Caenorhabditis elegans: one gene and its partner. The protein of the gene in region 1 interacts with the protein of each later gene in a biochemical or structural test. Each region holds a gene or a part of one and is shown on either strand. Other genes may lie near its edges.

Region 1 (4,991 bases):
TTCAAGGGAGGCATATTCATTCTAGTTCTCGCAGCACTCTCCATTTCTCGCGTATACTCTAATGTAAGATTACTGTAGAGAATAAAGTGCAGCGAGACTATTCCGAATAGACACTTATCCAATGAAACTCATAGAAGTACAACACTTATAGTATAAGTGCTGAAGAGTAGAGATTGAAATCAAATTTATTTACAGATGCTGTTTCTCGTCTGTTCTGTTATTCTCACTGCTGCCGTATTGGTGAACTGCGGAAAATTTAAGGCTAAAAAAGGCGAGTTTACTGAAGTAATTGGGAGGAACTTACCTTTCATTCTCATTTTATTTTAAATACTCTGTGTTTTCAGTCGAAGAGGAGATTGGTGGGTCGATGATGTTCGCACCGAGAAGACCACCGCCAGGCGTGGAGGCTCGCCCCACAATTCCAACATCAATGGTTTACATGGAGAACGACGACGCCAACTCTACCTGGCGTCAACGAGAGGAAATCTTCGAATAATTTGTTTGTTGTTTTTGCGTAATGAATTATTTTAGTGTTGAAATAATTTTATTTAATTTTTAGAGTTTTCGTGTCCAAATTTATCTGGATTCATTAAATTCGAAAAAAAAAAACAAAACAATGAACAATAAACAGAAAGAAACAATAACACAACTGCATGAAAAGCAATAAAACAACAAAAAAGAAAAGAAAAAACAAAACTGGGCAATGATAAGGGTGGGGATGGCACAACATCGATCTTAAAATCGAAACGAAACCATTGCAACAGTTTAAAATATTACAAAACAACAGAACATAAGTGGGTGGGATGAGATTTATGGTGAGAAAGTTCGCATGAGCCTCAGGTTACCTTCCTCGATTCCATTCTTCTCCAACTCTAGACCATCGTGTTCGGAAGCAGTACTGAAGCAATCCGTCTTGAATGATTCATGTCCCGAAGATTGGAGTCCATAAATCGGATGAGTTGAACGGAGATGGGCAAGCGTCTCGATCATCTTTTTGCCGGATGAGAACCTGAAATTCGAATTTCAAAATATTATTGTGACAATAGTGATAACCTTGACAAGCGATGCCTTTCTTTCGTAACTCTCGAGTGCAACTTTTTGAGCCAAACTTGGAATGAGTTTGCATGGTCATAGCTCCCTTCTTTCGTTTGTCGTCTTCCAGACACAGCATCACAGCAAATAGTCAGCATGCATTGAACGACGTAGTTTCCGAATTGATGGAACATCATGATATCGAGAGCATCTTTTCCAGTGCCCCTGAAAAACAATTTAATTTTTATGTGACTGAAACGAAATTTTTACGGGTGTGGCATGTATCCGTCGAAAATCTCGTCCATCATTTCAGCAAGAAGTTCCATTGGTGCATGTAGGAATGCTTTCTCTACAACATGAGACGCAAACTTTTCCTGGGATAACGAAAGAAGATTGCGCCTGAAATATTAATGATTAAAAATCAAATATATATTAAACAACACTCACATGAGGCATTTCTCTATGATACATTCCCGATATACGGCCAGATCATCATTGGATACAATATGCTGTATTATGTAATTGGCATACTCGTTCGTAGCTAATTCTTGGCACCGATTAGTCACAGAAGTCATGAGGCGTTGGAGTGCTCGTTCACGAAGATGTTGAGCAGCGGAAGTTAAATCAACGTTTATTGAATCAGCAGTGAGTTTTTCGATTATAGTTTGCACAACACGGCACCCATACTTATCAAAACAAATCTGACGGAGGTGCTCTGGGGTTGCAACAAAATCCACGATAAACTCCCAATTCTTCAGTGGGATGACAGCTACGACTTTCTGAATGACGTGATTGGCATTTTGATCAACACAGATTGCGATAAGACGAGCATCACGAGGTAGAGCTTGAACAAGTTTACACGCAAGGGATAAATCCATGTTCTGGAGACTGGATTGGATAACACGACACGCAAATTTGTCCAAGCACATATCTGTCATTTGGGAACTGATGAAGTTCTTCAACTTTTCTTGTCGCTTTATGTTGTCGTCATCATAAGTTGTCAATGACATTCCAATGATTTCTTGTACGAAATAATTTCCAAAGATGTTCGTGCTCAATTTCTGAAAAGAAAAGTCGTGTGTGCTCGCAGAAACTAAAACTTACAAGGAAATCATCTTTTCTCCCAATAACTTGTTCAAACAATTGGAACTTCTGATAAGATGTCAGGCTGCCCTTCACGGCCTTTTCGAGGAACTGGCACCCAGTTTTGTCAACGGCAAACTTCATCAAATCGCCACTATCCAAAACTTCAGAGAGCGACAATCTTGAACGCATTTCACCATTGGAATCCAAGGACCAGGTTGGCAGCACATTGTTTGATCTTGTGAATGATCTAGAGTTCCTCGATAGAGCGGGTCTATAAATAAAACAGAATAAACACTTGAGGATAGTGATAAATTAATTCGAACCTCGAATATTTCAAATGGTCATTTTTCGAAGAACTATTGTTACGATCAATCTCGGTAGAGCAATATCGGACATTTTGTGAAAAATCGTCCGGCTCGAGACGCGAGGAATCCGTATCAGACTGAATGAATGATGAAGTTCGGCTACGCGAGACCGGCATGAACACATTGGGCTGCAAATCAGTAATGAAAACAACCAAAAATTAGCTACTCTAACTTACAAAGCTCTGAAAACTCCGGAGGCTCATCAAATCAGTTAGCGGGGTTGGTGGCCGCGATGTAACAATGTGATTCTGTTGATGGCGAGCATAATTCATCCCATCGTTCATATTGAGCATTGAGAAATACGGGTTGAGAGAGTTGAAGTTCCACATTGATGTCTCATGCTGCGCCATCGGCGAATGTGCGGGAGTATGATGATTTCCAACCTCTGTAGATGTGGGCTTTTGCGGAGTCTGTAAAATTTAGGCCATTTATCAATATTAATGGCTGAAAACCAACTTTTCTGAACTGATTTGTATAGCGCATTTTTGATTGGTCCATGTCGATTAGTTGATAATTTTATTCGAATGGTTACTTATAGAAAAACTATCAATTCACAGAAAATAGAGAATAGGAATAAGAAAATAATATTTCAAATTGAATTTGAGAATGACGAAAGTGTGTCACATACTCTGGTGTTTGCGTACTTTGTCATTGTCTACCGTATCCAAATTGAAATTTTCAAACAATGCGATTTGCTTATTTATCTCTCAAAATTTTAGCATCTCCATGGAGAGATATTCTCTGTTAAAACAGATAAAAAATTGTGGAATATTCCAGACCGTACCGTATAAAATTGATAAAACATTTAAACCTCCCGAAAAGCTATAACCAGTTGGCTCTCGCGAGACGCGAGGGACGATCGTCGTCGACGATCGTATGATTGGGATTGGTTTTTTTAAAATTAATTCATAATCACATAATTCAATTTCCAGAAGACTAAGTCCCCATAAACCTCTATAGAGTTGCATTAAATCTCCATATTCCGGATGATGTTTTGATATTTAGAATTTCAGAAAATATTGCATTGTATTTGGATGTTGTAGGAAGCTTAAGCTTCCTACCGTTTAACCATCTAAAACGCAAATTACGATTGTTTTTCAAACATATTGTTTATTTATAAACTAGAAAACAAAAAAATTCCAAAAAAAGTTACATTCGAATATTTGGGGAATTAACGGGATTAGAAGAAATTTGAGAATCACAATCATTATTCAGGATAACCTGTCAGGGGTATCGGGAAATATTGGTAAGTTTTAGATGGTTTTGGGGAAGAATGGGCGTTTTTGGGAGTTAATATACAAAATAGAAAGGAGAAGCAATAAATTAGATAAAAATAAGAAGAATTATGAGACATTCAAGAAGTAGAAGAAGCAATTGTCTATTGTGATCCAGAAAGGGCGGAGCAAACACTTCGAACATCCCAAATAATAATCACACGATTATGGCCACTGGTAACTGGCCCTCATTCCGAGGGGACAAACTTTTAGGGTGGCAAGGTATTTTTGGGGACAAAGTATCCAAAGTGACATGGTATCCAGTCGACAAAGTGCCATTTGTCTCTGACCGGGCGTATCTTCGGTGACAAACTTTTTCAACTAGTTTTTTTATATATATTTCTTGACCATTTTTTGTTCATATTTTACTGGAATAAGTTTTTAAATGCAATTTTCCATGGATTTTCGGCCTTGACTACTCACAATTGAATGCATGAACAATGATCTTTTGGGAAAATGCTGTAAAACGTCCAACTAACTTGGAATATCGTAAGATTCTTCGAGATGATGACGTCGGATCCTTCGGAGCTGAAGGATCAGAACATCAGGAAGAGCCTCGTGATCCTTTGGAGCTGAAGGATCAGACCATCAGGAGGTACCCTTACGATCCTTCTTATCTGAAGGATCAGAACATCAGAAGGTACCCATGTGATCCTTCGGAGCTGAAGGATCAGAACATCAGGAAGAGCCTCGTGATCCTTTGGAGCTGAAGGATCAGACCATCAGGAGGTACCCTTACGATCCTTCTTTTCTGAAGGATCAGAACATCAGAAGGTACCTATGTGATCCCTCGGAGCTGAAGGATCAGACCATCAGGAAGAGCCTCACGATATTCCAAGTTAGTTGGACCTTTTACAGCTTTTCCCAAAAGACCATCGTTCATACATTTAATTGTGAGGGAATTATAACCGATAATCGATTGAAAATTGCATTAAAAAACTTATTCCAGAAAAATGTGAACAAAAATTAGTTGAAAAATACATATAAAAATCTAGTTGAAAAAAAGGTTGTCACCAAAGATATGCCCCCCAAGATACACCCCAGTTTGTCTACTGGATACTTTGTCTCCTTGGATACTATGCCCCCAAAGAACCTTTGCCACCAAAAAGTTTGTCATCTCGGAATGAAGGCCGTTTGTTCCATAGTTTGTAGATATTTATGTTGCTCGAGAACTTCCGGAAAACAGGGAAAAACGTTTCATCTGCAAAGAAAGGCTCAGAAATTTCAGAATTTG
Region 2 (7,357 bases), 1.1 Mb from region 1:
TAATTTGAAAAAAATTTACACATATACATATTAACGAAAAATCCAAGGAAGTCTGTCATCAAATCTTCTTTCCGTATTAAAAAAAACAAGCGTCGTTTTGAATAAGAATACACATTTTTTGGTTTGGGAAAAGAAGATGATGCAGATGAAATTATGGAGTGAGTAGAGTCAGGCGGTCGAAGATTGGCTCATTTCAAGAAATAAGTGCCTCCAATGGACAGTCCGTTTCAAGAAAAAAGAGAGACCTCGCTTTACGATTATATGGAGAAAGTGTATCGATTCAGGGAAATTCAGGAAAAATTTTTTTGTTTCTTCTATCCTTTTATCGCTACATTCAAGTGAGACGAATTAATTTTAGTCTTTCTAAAATCAAAATCTTCCACTTGTATGAAGACTATGGCGAGGATTTGAACGACCAAGAGACTTTCCATATTAGAAATTTAGAACATTATCAATGAACATGTCCTTGCTGAATCGAAAGTTGTCGGACGATAAGATGTGATTAACAACAATATTTCCGCAATTCTTTCATTTATAAACAGAACTGTAGAGGAAATTGGGATAAACTGCTAATGAAATCCTAGTTGAATGACGAAAAAAAAAGAAAAGACAATAAAAGTGGTAGTGTATATGAAGTGATGAAAAAAGAAAGGAAAGATGGAATACATTGAAACAAACCTAGATATGATGGGACCCGGGACAATATTGCGATCAAAAACAACTGGGAATTATGGGAGAAAAAAGGAAGAACATTAAATATAGGGAAGGGAACATCGACAGTGCCATAAATTGCAATTGGAAGTATAGATGCACGAAAATTCTGAATTTCATTGTGAATTCATTTAATTTTTCATGTTACCTATGCTTCCAACGTCTGCAAAAGGAATGAAAAGATAGAAAAATGACGAACGAAGAGGTGACAACAATGAAATAATACGGGAAGAATTGGAAAATAATTTCGGTTAAAATAAGTGTAGAACTGTGAAGGCTAAGCACCAACCATCGGCCTAGTCGTATAAGTCCCGTGGATACAAAGATATTCTCGACAGGCAAATGGATGGTTTGTAAGATAAAAATTGATGGAGCCGTATACGATATGCACAAATAGGGTTCATATATAGCGAAAATTGATGTAAGAAGTAGAAGAAGCTATTGGAAAAATCCCGATTTCTCAATATGTAGATGTTTCGTCTGAAATATATGTATGTTAATTAGCCAATTGTGGATTTACAAACCTAACGAAAGATCTTGGGTTACTGTAGATTCAATACTTTTGTCGGCGATCTGAAGCTTTACAGATAATTATGGCAAGCCAATAGACTACTTGCCTCTTTTTCTTTTTCATTCAGAACATCGCTAAACTGCCTTTCATGAATACGTGGTAGTTGCTCACTCGATTCACGAACACTAGCTATTAACTTCATTGGATCAATTCTGTATTGTCTAGATCCCAACGAAGACGTATCATTTTCTGCTGACTTCTCTTCATCACCGTACTCATTTGAGTATTTCGTCTTGTGTTCTAGGCTTATTTTGCCATAATCTTTCTCTACTCGAGCACGTGGTTCCAATATGGTTTTTGTGACTCCGTTGTCGCCAACTTTTCTGAAGCTATCATATGAACGAGATTGATGTGTGGATGCATGATCAACAACGCTGTATGCACCATCAGAATCGATGTATCGGGCGGATTGACCATCTCTGTAAAATGTTTTGATTATATGAATGCTTAAATATGTATTTTTTGCAAATTAAAAATGCTCATTTATGATGTAAACGAAAAGCTATAAACTCTTTTAATTTCAACTTTAAAAACGTACTTCTCGGTAAAACAGCTAACTGTTCTTGGTCTTCTTCCCGATTCATTGATATTTGCATTGGATAGGAATCTCTGAACAAAGTCTCCATCCATTAAATCATTTCCGAAGCCACTTGCAGAAACTGTAGTATCAGAATCATTGTGCGGTGACTCATGCATATAAAGCTTTTCATGATCCAAATCAACATCATTCGATTTCAACTTCAAGTGGTGTGTCATTTGCAATTGTACTTGTTCCAAAGACGGGGACCTCTTAGCTGGCCCAGAATTTCCCACATGAAAGTCGTATTCATTGGAATTGCGAACGTCTCTGTGCACATTAATTGTTCTACTTGAGTGAATATCTCCACGACTTCCTGTCTTCCAGCGTTGTTGATCATCCTTCTGAAGTCTTTGATGCTGTCGTGGGTACTGTCTTTCATATCCTTCTGTAATAATTATGATTTTATCAATTTTATTATTGTCATAGTCTTACGGTCGTGCATGCTTTCAACATTCTGATCGTCTCCATTCACTGATGTTCTTCTTGAACCAATATGTGAACGAAGATCATCTTCTCGAACTTGTTCGTAAACACGTTGACGAGGTGTTGTCGATGGATAATAAGAACCTGTGCTCGATGATGGTCGATTTCCCATGTTTCTAGACGGTTTTCTGATTTCTTGTGTTGATCGTAGAGATGGTGATGATTCACGGTGATTTCTGTGTTGTTCGGCTGAAAGTGATTGTTGCAATGATGCTTTGAACGAATAAACCAACCTTCATTTACCGGAAACAATCCGTGGACATAAGGAAAACCATCAAATACTACAGGATCCGCAAATGGCAGAGCAGACACTGAAACACAAAATTTCAATAATGATAATTTTTACGAAGACATAGAATATTGATGGAAGCTAAACGCTTTATTGTGGTTGAATTTACGTAATAAGATCATCACAACCGGGTGAAAAGACAAATATTACATAGTGGCGGTAGGAGGAACAAGAGAAAATTTTGTGGCTTAAAACTATCCAGAATTTGGCAAATTTTTCATGAAGAGCTCATTTTACACGATGAATATATAACATGACGAGAGATCTTCTAAAGGTGACCGAAATTTCCGTTCAAAAAGTTAAAGTTCTGTGGAACTATGTAAGAAAATGGATAAATATTTGAAGAATAACGCGCACCAAAGGATCCATCGACGATGATCGGTGGAGGGAACATGATATGTGTGCCAGGATGTAATCCAGCTGCACCTGAAAGCTTGTATGATTGTCGAAACAAAATATATAATAGCAACCTTTCAAAAATGTCTGAGCTTGCTGATGTTGCTGCAAATAGACGTATTTCAGCATGTGATGATGAGGAGTTAACATTGGTGGTGCAAAATGTGGCGTTGGAAATTGCATAATAGGGACGGTTGCTGCAAAATTTCCTGATTTTAAAGCACTCTGTAGTAATATTATTATCATTGTTATTTAAATAAATTTGATATGCTTTTCTTAAATAATTTTATAGTATAATTTGTGTGTACTATTTACAATCATAAAAGGCAAATTGCTCACATGAATTTTCGGAAAACGAAGATACTCTTGTGTGAGACCTTGATGGACCCCCAGACGACTCAGAAAATTGTTTTCCTTTGCTCATGTAACTGTGTTTGGAACGAGAAGAAGCTATTGATGAGCTTCTATGACGACGACCGTTTGAACCATCAGAAAGTTCACCCCGACACTGAAAAAATCTCGTTTTGAACTAAAATGTAAAATAAACATGACTAACCGGCATATTGAAATTTTTCAAAAAGTTTGCCGGAAGAGAATGATGCCAGATGGAGTTGTCATAATCATTTGGTTGTGGAGCAATGAAATCAAATTTTTTCTGAAAATTACTTGTTCTTAATCTCATTTCAGAGAGACGTGCGCTTACCGAGAGAACTTTTTGATAAGCGGTGTACAGCTTCTTTATGTTAAACTCCTTCGAACGAAGACTGGCACAGTTCAACGGAACCTCTCCTGACAGTAGATCCGCGGGCTCATACACGGAAGGAGTCATTTTAAGAATAATCCCACTCTCATCAATAATCATGTGTATGTTCCGATCAGAAACTCTGCTCGGTTCTGCCATATCAGTATTTTTAATGTTGAAACACATCGAAATAGGAAGGAGGTCCTGTAAATTCTCGAGTGTATATCTTTCTATGTATTCATACTCCTCACCATTATGTATCTCCTGGCTTTAAGAACATTGTCAATGTTCCCAACAACTTTAATTTCATAAATATTTCCACGAGTTTCGTTTCGATTATTGTAACATGGATAACTAATTATTGTCGTTGTCTCCCTCTCGATTACAGGCTGAAATTTAATGCTGATGTAATAGAAATATCCTTTAGCCAAACCATGAGTTGCGCCGTCGATGAACTTCCAAGAACTTGATCCACGTAGTATGTTGACAATGTGAAATGGAGAGTGAAATTCTGAAAAACAAAATGTTCAGGATATATATTCAGTTTATCTGCTAACATTCTCCGGTGCCGGAGACTCGCGGAAAAGTATTTCATTCAGTCGTTTTGCAGCTTCGATCAGTTCATGCTGATTCTTTTCGCGGGCGGTGATACGAAGATAGGTTGTGACGATTCCATTCTGAAGAAAATTAATACTGTTGGTTACTAGCTAAATCGGCTTGCCTTTTCTGGAGCATCGACGAAAGACATTTCCACATTTTGAATGGGGTTCTGTCTGACATGTGCCTGAAGTTCGTGAAGTGGCATCTTCATTTTTGACAGTGCCATAAAAACTGTAAAATGACAGTTTCTCTGTAAAATACGAACATTATTCATATAATCAGAGTTGAACGTACTCTCATCAACATTCGTGCTCTATCCACGTCACCAAAGTATCCAGTGATGGTTACTTGCTGTGCAAATGGATCAGGTGTAGTTCCTCCGACAGAACGATCGGGAAGTTGAATGAGGGTGTTAGTTTCTGCCATGATTGACGCGACATTCTCGTGATCCCCGTTGTCACTGAAATGAATACAATTTCTTTCGCTTAACTGGTGAACTAACCTGGTCATTAGTGAATAGTATTGGGATTCAAACTCCATATTGAGGGTTACTCTAGTTGGGTTAATCTCGATCTAAATGTTGAATCAGTTAATCAGTGGAATGTGAAGCAGTCAAACCATTGGTATATTTGACGGCAGAGGCAATCCTTGCGCTTTTAGCTGATGAATATGAGCCTCTCGTTTCGTGTTGTATGACACCTGTCGTCTCTGATTAGCATCCTCCGCCATCTGAATTGTTTGACTGTAACATAACAAGTTGTTGCCTTTACCTGTGCAGATTGCTGGAAATCATGATAGAAGTTTTCAGGATTCACGATAATATCTTTGAGGGCAGACGATACAAATAGTTTTCTAAAATCGGAGTATTAGAATGTTGTAAGCGTAAACCATATTTAATACCTTGCAGATGCCGCATTTTCTGCCATTTGGAGGCGTGTGTCAGCATCGTATTCAACGGCAGAGCGAACGAATGGATTGTAGGAGTGCGCTTCATCATGATCTTTTTCATGGCTTTGCTCCCCCATCTGCAAAATTGAAATCTTGTTTCTAACACTAAAGCGTTTGCTCAGTAAATTTTTTGAGTTTCAAATATTTTATAAATGATCGTCAGTGCCTCCGTCGATGTTACTGGTATTAGTATCATCGTGGAACGATTAATTACAGATAATATTAGCATTATAAGGATGAAATTGCACGAAAACAAATGAGAAAACACACTGAAAATCACGCTGAACGTGTGTTCGAGGAATTGGGCGCCAAACAATCTCCTTGAAGAACGTTGTAAGACCTGCTCGATTTCGGTAATGCGCCTTTCTGAAAACTTTCTTGGTTACTGTACTTTTTAAATTTGATTAGCTGCCTAATATTAGGGGCGGCTTCATTTAACAGACTGAACATTTGAATTACATTTTAATAAATTGTTATACTATTTTGTTATATCTGTGTTGCTTTCTACTTTTTCAAAATTAACTTCCCCTTTTTTAGAAACACCCATTGGCTTTGCATCATTTTTTATTTTGCGAGCTACTGTAAACAAGTCCGCAAACACCGCACACAGAGAATTACGTCTTAGTCGACGCGCAAACCGCTTTAACTTATTTTCGCTTTTTCCGTTTTTAATACAACTTTTGTTAGTTTCCAGGCTTTGAATATGGATGAAGAGGGTTCTCGTTCGTCTATCACTGATGAAGAAGATTATGTAGACGATAATGATAATGGCGAAGACTATGAAGGTATGCTTATATATATATTTTTTCAAATTTCTTCAACGTATGGTTTTCCAGCGACAATTGAAGAGGAGGAGCTTCTAGATGAAGGGGACTACGAAGATGAATTGAAAGGTGAATTTCTTTAATTTGCTTCTGACTCATTTTTCTTTTCAGACTTGGAAGATGAGGGAGAAATGTCAATTGAAGAACTTCAACGTAAGTATGGCTATCGTCCAGCGGAAAATTCATCTGCAAACAATGAAGATACGGAAATCGCCGAAGAAGTAATTTACAAATGATAAAGTGAAATTATAAAATGTTTATATTTTTCAGAATGTAGGGGAATCAAGTTCGGCTGCTGCAGAACCGCACGACTCAACAATTTTCGATATGGGTAATTCAATGAGTGGCTTCGACGACGATGATGACGACTATGCACCACCGCCAGACCCATGGAAAAGAAGTATTCGTGTGGATCCAGTACTTTTCCAAGCCGACGTCCCGCTTTTTAATGAAGCAACGGTTGAAGGTAAGCAATGATCTGATTTTTGATTCTATATCGATTTATTTCTTCAGAATCTGCTCGAGAAGATGACACTATTTTATGGACAATTGATCAGACGAATCAGCCAAGTGATGAAGTTATTGACAACTATCTCAAAGATGTAGTAGGCTTACGAAAAGCCCACGACCAACCATGTCCACCAGCTGGCACCGAATCACGAGACGACGAGGACGCTCTATGTGCTTTGTATAGAAGCAACTTTGACACAGAAAAGGCGAAAGAATCATTCCCTTTTCCTCATATAAATGCCCCATTCCGCACTGTTCGCTCAGATGCATTGGGATTCGATGAGAGTGAAGCAAAGGCATTTGAAGAGTCACTCGAGCTGTATGGAAAAGATTTTTCGCTGATAAGGAGACTACGGGTTAGTTGTATATTTTGCAAATTCAAAAAGTTTTCATAATGTTTTATTTTAGCTACCCTACCGGAAAGTTGGAGAACTTATCGAATACTACTATCAATGGAAATTAACCCCTGGGTGAGAGAACGACGATTTCAAATTTTAATAATTTATTTCAGCTATCGAGTTTGGCGGGACGCTCATCCACAGCATGCGCCAGTAGTTCAGCCTCATTTATCTGCTGCATGGCATCAGCAAGTAGCTCAACTGGAAGATCAAAATGGTCAAACTGGATTTGTTGAAGCCTCCTTCTCCGAGCCATCTACTTCAGAGGAGCCATCAACTCTTACGAACTAAAACTAGGGAACTAT

Evidence for each region. The genes of interacting proteins can lie anywhere in the genome.
Region 2: the proteins of fbf-1 (region 1) and gld-3 form a complex in vitro, tested with the Caenorhabditis elegans proteins (one study listed by BioGRID).

The regions. Positions count from the first base shown.
Region 1 is NC_003280.10:6,077,740-6,082,730, forward strand, and holds fbf-1 (Fem-3 mRNA-binding factor 1), read right to left. Parts: upstream 3,105-4,991; 5' UTR 2,982-3,104; coding exon 2,940-2,981; intron 2,894-2,939; coding exon 2,660-2,893; intron 2,612-2,659; coding exon 2,442-2,611; intron 2,390-2,441; coding exon 2,137-2,389; intron 2,094-2,136; coding exon 1,480-2,093; intron 1,432-1,479; coding exon 1,303-1,431; intron 1,258-1,302; coding exon 1,054-1,257; intron 1,010-1,053; coding exon 811-1,009; 3' UTR 524-810; downstream 1-523. Other genes in the region: H12I13.6 (uncharacterized protein), read left to right, coding at 196-271, 345-496. UniProt on the Caenorhabditis elegans protein: RNA-binding protein that binds to the consensus sequence 5'-UGUGCCAUA-3' in mRNA 3'-UTRs. Involved in the control of stem cells and sex determination in the C.elegans hermaphrodite germline.
Region 2 is NC_003280.10:7,130,683-7,138,039, reverse strand, and holds gld-3 (Defective in germ line development protein 3), read right to left. Parts: upstream 5,398-7,357; coding exon 5,273-5,397; intron 5,225-5,272; coding exon 5,143-5,224; intron 5,102-5,142; coding exon 4,991-5,101; intron 4,946-4,990; coding exon 4,875-4,945; intron 4,833-4,874; coding exon 4,667-4,832; intron 4,623-4,666; coding exon 4,494-4,622; intron 4,450-4,493; coding exon 4,330-4,449; intron 4,284-4,329; coding exon 4,206-4,283; intron 4,162-4,205; coding exon 4,024-4,161; intron 3,977-4,023; coding exon 3,734-3,976; intron 3,686-3,733; coding exon 3,587-3,685; intron 3,539-3,586; coding exon 3,370-3,538; intron 3,228-3,369; coding exon 3,105-3,227; intron 3,061-3,104; coding exon 2,992-3,060; coding exon of another isoform or gene 2,903-2,991; exon of another isoform or gene 2,713-2,902; intron 2,657-2,712; coding exon 2,579-2,656; intron 2,535-2,578; coding exon 2,295-2,534; intron 2,248-2,294; coding exon 1,821-2,247; intron 1,702-1,820; coding exon 1,329-1,701; intron 1,285-1,328; coding exon 1,236-1,284; and 4 more. Other genes in the region: T07F8.4 (ELM2 domain-containing protein), read left to right, coding at 6,024-6,105, 6,157-6,213, 6,256-6,365, 6,415-6,610, 6,658-7,010, 7,063-7,124, 7,166-7,343. UniProt on the Caenorhabditis elegans protein: Required maternally for germline survival and embryogenesis. Forms a complex with gls-1 which promotes the oogenic cell fate by freeing the translational repressor fbf to repress sperm promoting factors.